Oryzias latipes: one gene and its partner. The protein of the gene in region 1 purifies or fractionates together with the protein of each later gene. This does not show direct contact. Links are inferred from orthologs where the notes say so. Each region holds a gene or a part of one and is shown on either strand. Other genes may lie near its edges.

Evidence for each region.
Region 2: the proteins of kras (region 1) and hspd1 purify together in Homo sapiens (affinity purification with mass spectrometry; 3 studies listed by BioGRID and IntAct, with this or other methods). This does not show direct contact. The link is inferred for Oryzias latipes from reciprocal best matches to the Homo sapiens genes KRAS and HSPD1.

What each region holds. Positions count from the first base shown.
Region 1 is NC_019864.2:21,729,603-21,732,390, forward strand, and holds the end of kras (GTPase KRas), read left to right. Parts: intron 1-690; coding exon 691-810; 3' UTR 811-815; intron 816-2,046; downstream 2,047-2,788. UniProt on the Homo sapiens protein: Ras proteins bind GDP/GTP and possess intrinsic GTPase activity. Plays an important role in the regulation of cell proliferation.
Region 2 is NC_019879.2:154,430-158,654, reverse strand, and holds the start of hspd1 (60 kDa heat shock protein, mitochondrial), read right to left. Parts: upstream 2,906-4,225; 5' UTR 2,794-2,905; intron 1,205-2,793; 5' UTR 1,203-1,204; coding exon 1,029-1,202; intron 929-1,028; coding exon 593-928; intron 518-592; coding exon 422-517; intron 208-421; coding exon 114-207; intron 44-113; coding exon 1-43. UniProt on the Homo sapiens protein: Chaperonin implicated in mitochondrial protein import and macromolecular assembly. Together with Hsp10, facilitates the correct folding of imported proteins.

The sequences.
Region 1 (2,788 bases):
AGCAATAGAATAAAGTTGTCTTTGTTGTGAGTTCATGTCAGTTCTTTATGGTATCTCTAAAACTATAAGGCCCTTCATATCAATCGTTTGATTTATTTTTGACAGCATACTTCTACTTTTGTGTGAAAAGGCAAATCCCACAGAGCTGTGGATTTTTTTTTCCCCATATTTTTTTGCCTCTAAATCAACCGATATGAACAGAGCTACACGGTTATTGCTGAGAGGAGCATCAGCCCTGCATTGCTGTTATTTATTTAGTATTATTGTTTAAATAAATTGTGTTGATTTATTTGAGTTCTCAGGACAAATGTCCATACTTTTCAACAGTTTTGGAATACAAGAAGAAATCCAATTTCCATAGTCCCTTTTACTTCAGTCATTATTTTGCTTAAGAACAGCTCTGCAGTCTCCTCTGCAAAAGCTCCAGGAATAGAAAATAGTTAGTTAATTAGGTTTTATATATTTCATTTTTTTACGTTTTATGGGGAGGAAACTAGACTCATTTCCAAGCCTGCAGAAGCTGCTGCTCAGTTTTCATCCAATCAAACTCTTTGAGTTTTTAAGAGTTTGGAGAGAAGACAAATCCGGCATTTCAGGAGTATCCCCATGTTTATCTTAAAATTTCTGACACCATGAAGAATGTGCTCCTACATTCCTCGCCATTGAGGAGAGTTGTGTCTTATACCGCAGAGAGTGGAAGATGCCTTTTACACTCTGGTACGGGAGATCAGGCAGTACCGGCTCAGTAAGCTCAGCAAGGAAGAAAAGACTCCACGCTGTGTCAACCTTAAAAAGTGTGTTGTGATGTGAGAGGGGTAAGTGTACGCAGCCGCGCACCCATCAGCTCTGTGTGTTGTTGGGGGGAACGGCGGACGAGGGATGGAGGAAGACACTGAGCCAAAGCTGGTGCTTCATGTGGTGTCAAAGCTAACCTGCTGGCTTTTATTGGGACTGTGGTGAGGTTCTAACACGAGCCTGACGTGTTTTGATTTCTTCTATTTTCAGTCTCCATGTGTTGTGGTGGATTATTGTCTAAGGTCATTTTCACACTGGGTTCATCCATCAAGTTTGGGGAAGTTTGATTTGCGCAGCTGGTGTGCTTCTGCATGGATGTCTGAACTCTTTTTCATGGGTTTCTTTTGCCTTATCCCTTCCCCATGGAGGAGCATTTGTCAGTCCTTGTTTCAGCAGTAAAACGACCTCCTAAAGGACTCCTGGCCTAAAAAAGGAATCGATCCAATCAAGTGTTTGGTCACGTTTTTACCAGATTCAGGGAAAACTACCAGTGTGAAAATATCCTTCTGTGCTGAAAGAAACTTGTGTACATGGTTTTGGGTTGCTAAGCCATCTTGGGCGGCTGTAGGTTCTTTTAAAAAAAAAAAAAAATTTAATGGTGAATGTGGGACTAAATCATGCTGAAATATTCATGTCTTTAAAAAAAATAAAAAAGCAAAAAAACAGCAAAAATTCTGACCACAAAGGCTGTGTGTGTTTTGCCTATACGAATCTCTCCATGTCTGTTCTGCATTCTCTGGTTGTCTTCACAACATAAAGTGTCCCAAGGCTCTTTACTCAACAGCTTTTTGCAGATTATTGTCGCATTTCTTGAACTACACAAACTGTTGGAGCTCTCAGACAATTGCGTCAGTGTGGCATCAACAGGCACGAGCTGTATTATAGCACAAAGCCTTTTCTTCACCCCAGCGCGAGAATAAAAGGCTCGTCTAATGTCTCCAGTCTGAAGAAATTCCCACTTAAAAAAAAAAAAAAAAAGCGGTAGCACTGAAAAAAAATGGTTTGAAAGTATTTTTTCTGTTTAAAAAAAAATAAAATTGTCTGTTTACTTTATTCTAAGATGAAAGATATGTCATTGCTTAGACTAATCTACCATGTTTTAGCCACTTGAATTTGTGCAACTGGTTAAAACATCATTTCAGATCCTTAATGTCTTGGTTAAATGTGCATTTTTAAATGACCTGTAACTTTCCAACTCTAACTTTGTACATTTATTTGCTTGTTTTTTTTTTTTTTTGCCTTATTTCCCAGGGCGTGGATGATGCCTTTTATACATTAGTCAGAGAAATCCGGAAGCATAAGGAGAAGATGAGCAAGGAGGGCAAAAAGAAGAAAAAGAAGTCCAAGACAAAGTGTATACTCATGTGAATAAATGCCCCTTTTCAAAACAGAAAAAACAACTTAATAATAAGCAGTTTAAGTAATACATTTTTGTACATTACACTAAATTATTAGCCTCCATTTCATTAAATACTAAACCCGACCTAAATTTTCCTGTTCTTTTTTTCTGGAAAACCAGTAAGCTCTCAGTTTAGTGCCAGTTGCTGAGATGGGTTAGCCCAACAGTTTGAGCTTGATTTCTTTGAGGTGACGGTGTATTTTTTTATTTTTGATTTTTTTACCTAATCATGGAACTGATGTCATCCATCACACCTGACAACACTGTTATCAGCATTAACTCCCCTTTGCTGGAAAAGCTGCAGCTCTTTTCAAGCAGAGGATGCCAAAGAATGAACCCTAGACAAAACTGAAAAAGGGTCATCGCCCCACAGGATGAGGTCCAAAACATTCTGCCACCATGTCCATCCCCTCGCCTTTAAATAGGACTTAGTTTTGTCACTGATAATTATGCATGCAAACTCCTACTCTTTTCCAAGTGTTTAACACCTTAGCTATTATGTTAGCTATTAATAAATTTGTCATTGCTTTGTACTGTGTGGGTAGAATCTTTTTTTATTTTTTATGCCTACATCAGAGGACATTTTTCTTCCTG
Region 2 (4,225 bases), on another chromosome or scaffold:
TCGCTCAGCAGCAGGTAGGCGTCCTGGAACTCACACTTCTGACCTGGTGGCAGTGGGGAGACCGGGGTCAGCGGGGAGCTGCTTCCAGGTGAGGCTGGGGGGAGGAGCCTTACCTTTGGCGGTGTTGATGAAGTAGGGAGAGATGTAACCGCGGTCAAACTTCATGCCCTCGATGATCTCCAGCTCGTCCTGCAGCGTTTTCCCGTCCTGCGGCAGAAGGAATGAATGTTAACCAGAAAGCTTCTAGACGCCGTCAAAGGTTGGACAATGAGGACACAGGAAGTCCTCTCAGAGGCTTTGGTCCAACCCCCCATGTATGGACGCAGAACGTGCTGCCATCATTTGCCACATAACGGTCATCCAGAACCGGAGGATGTTCTCCACTCCGGTGGGTGGACTCCTCGCAGCCCCTCCCCCTCACCTTCACGGTGATGACTCCTTTGCGGCCCACTTTCTTCATTGCGTTGGAGATGATGTTTCCGATCTCCGTGTCTCCATTGGCTGAGATGGTTGCGACCTGAAACGACACGCGTGATGAGTGAGGGTGACCGTGTGGAGACGGCGTCAGGACAACCGGATGCCCTTCCCAGACCTGTGCGATCTCCTCTGGGGTGGTGACGGGCTTGGAGAGTCTCTGCAGCTCGCCGATGACCGCCTCCACCGCCATCATGACGCCGCGGCGGATCTCCACAGGGTTTGCACCTTTGCTGATGTTGTCGAAGCCCTCCTTGGCGATGGCTCTGGCCAGCACCGTGGCGGTGGTGGTGCCATCGCCAGCCTCCTCGTTGGTGTTGTTTGCCACATCCTGCACCAGCCTGGCACCGATGTTCTTGTACTTGTCCTTCAGATCGATGCTCTTGGCCACCGTCACGCCGTCCTTGGTGACCTTGGGGCTGCCCCAGCTCTGCTCGATGATGACAGTGCGTCCCTGGACCGGGAAGACGATGCTTAAAACATTCGACTGGAGCACTTTCACACCTTTCCTGTTCTGTTTCCAAACCTAATCCACCCGTCAGCGGGTTTGTTACCTTTGGGCCCATGGTGACGGCCACAGCATCCGCCAACAGGTCCACCCCCTGCAGCATGAGCGCCCGAGCGTCCGCCCCGAACTTCACGTCCTTGGCGTAGGCCCGTGTGAGATGAGGGGCCAGCGCCCGGCTCACGGGCCTCACCTGCCTCATGACTGTCGCTAAACGAAACATCTCTGTGGAGAAAAGCAGTGAAGCCATTGAGGATCCTACAGGACCAGCAGTACCGCCCGGTGGTCACCAGTGGAATTACAGTGAGCGGGAACTTAAGCAAACCCACGTGACACGCAGCATCTAAGCATCCTTAAGATGCAGACTGAGCACAAGCAAGCAGTTAATTTTTACCAGAAACATCATCTGAAACTGGGAATTTGTGACCAAGTTCAGAACATCCTGCTTAAATTGTGGGGGGAGAGGAAAGTAACTTCATCTGTGCTGCATGTCTGTCTTGTGTCTGCAGCATATTTGACAACAAAGCTGACTTTGACTTGTTTCTCCTCAGTCGGCCTGATCTTGGTTCAGCAGCATTTCAAACTGTAACAAGCGGGTCACACTCATTTTCACTGAGGGCCACATCAGCATAGTGTCTGTCCTCAAAGGGCCAGATGTAACTTATACATGTAACTAAATGTAATGAAAATAAATGCAACTACTCCTTAATGATAAATAACTCATTATTTATTTATTATAACTTTTTAAATTGACAATTCCAGCTGCATAGAAAACATATGTTTGCTTGTTATTCTAACACAAATCCTTTTACATTTGATTCTGTCAGGTTAGGTTATGTGGACAGTGTTTAAGTCCTGATGTATAGATGACCAATCCAACATTTAAATCCAATTCCCCCCAGATATGAATAAATACACACCAATGTTTATTTTTTATTCCAAGAAATTAAACACCTTTATGTTCTCGTGGGCCACATAAAATGACACGGAGGGCCACATTTGGCCCCCGGGCCTTGAGGTTGACACATGCTGTAGACGGTCAGGTTAAAGCCAGAAACGCTCCACCATCATCAGCTCCAATGGAGCATCCAGAACCCAGCCCGACATTCCCGCAGCTTCCATGCGTCCAGACGGGAGGAGGTAAGGGGGCGGAGTCAAGGACACGGCCTCGGGCCCGAACTTCTGATTGGTGGAGTATAACTGATGGGACCCTCCAAGCTGCCTCTCATTCATTCCTACGGTGACAGATCTGCTACCATTTCCTCAAACACGCCTTTTAAAATGACCGAAATACCAAAAGATAAACTTTAGTTTCCAGAACAACAGCGGCTGTTACAGTTTTCGGAATAATAATTGCAGCTTATTTCATTCAAATGAAGCTTTTCATGAATAAAGGATTCTTAACCCCTCCTGGGGGCACTAGAACCTGGTCCTACCGGGTAACGCCTGGTGAGAACCAGTCTGAGGGGTTATTAAAGCCCCACATGCCCCGCAGTCTGCTCACAGCCCCCGGTTCCCCACGTGAGCTCCTCCGGTCGTACGTCACAAGGTCAAACGTTAGAGCTCGTGCCGGCTCCCTGGACGGATTCCCTCAGCCGCTCCAGAGTAACGGGATTACACGGGGGTAACTGAGTATTTGACACGTCCCTGCCGCGGTCCCGGAATCATCAGGACGAACCGGTCCGCATACGCCAGAACCGGCTGTTCAGACAAACCCGAGCTCGGTTCTGTTCGGTTCTCCACGCACCGACAGGACAAAGTGCCGCGCGCGCAGAGACGGATCCCTGCTGCGGGTTCGGACGGTCGGTTCTTACCTGACAGGGAACCGCTGCGATCTGCCGCACGCGCTGCACGAGTGATCTAACGGAGAATACCGCACGTGGGGAATCACATCCGGGTTATGTACGGCCCCGCCCAGAACTCTGTATGACGCATAACTACTTCAATAAAACTTCTCTTTTACGTTCAAGTTGTTATCCCCGTCTTTAATCTTCATGGAGACGTTTATTCATACCTGCGCAGAATGTTCTGATCATTTATTCTCACATGAACTTTGTTACAACTAACAGAGAAACGCAGCAACGCACACTTATGCTGGTTCCTGGGCTACGATTCCAGAATTTTCCGTACCCCATTGGAGGAAAAAAAAGAGGTCAAAGGTCACATTGTGCAACATTGCGCGAGCCCGTAGAGAGTGACTTTGAAACGAAATCACCGTTTCAATGACAAATGCGGCCTAGATAGACCGGAACTGTAGGTACGGGTCTGCCTGCAGCCCCGCTGTTCTGGAGCTTTCTGTCAGCGCCTCGTTACTGCGCATGCGCGATCTGGAGGCTTCCCTCACGTGGAGACAAAGTGCAGACGGTCCGAAGCTCTCTCAGTGAAGACGTGCAGCTCTGCGCAAGCGCTCAAAAATGGTGAGGAGAGAGAAAATGATGGGATTTCTGGTTGTTTACAGCATTTAACGTCTGTCTCTGTTAGCGCGCGGGGGGGGGGGGGGGGGGGTAGTGATTGGGCTAACGATGATGACCACCACGCGCAAGGTCACGCGTCCGGTGTGCTATCCGCCGGTTCCGTTAAACCAGCTCCGTGCACTGCGCCCCATTCAGCTTATGGGACGGCGTTCGGCGCGGCGTGCCTTGCTCAAGGACACTTCCATAAGACACCGACCAGCTGCTGAACCGCGTCATCGGGTTAGCCTGGAGTGGATCGGGTTAGAAGCGAGTCAAAGACCACAGCAGCCCACGTGCTTCTTTTTTCAGACTGCGGGATCAACACCGTGAATATCTTAAGGACAGTAGTGCGTGTACACGGATGTGCGTGCACGTGTCCTGCTGGTCACCTGGTCAGGTGTGTTTAGCCAATAAGGAGCTTGAGCGGCAGGTTGGTTAGAACATGTAGGACACCGGCCCTCCAGGCCTGGATTTGGGGCCCCTGCTCTGGAGGGTCCTCGGCCTGTGGGACCTCTTCCTGGGGTCCAGGTGCTGCTCCAGGGCGCCACCTGCTGTCGGGTTTGGATGCCGTGGATGCCTGCTGTGGTTTTTGGGTGGTTCGGCCCGGTTCTCCTCTCGGTTCGGGTCAGTTTTAGTCTGGTCGGGGGGTGTCTTAAAGTCGGACCTCTTCTCTCTGAGTTTCCCTCTGACGTAGGTCGGATTCAGACTCGGGTTTGAAGGTTTCATTGCGTCTTCATGCAGTTCTGCTGTGGGGGCGGGACGGTTGATGAGCCGGCTCCTCCGTGTTTGGGTC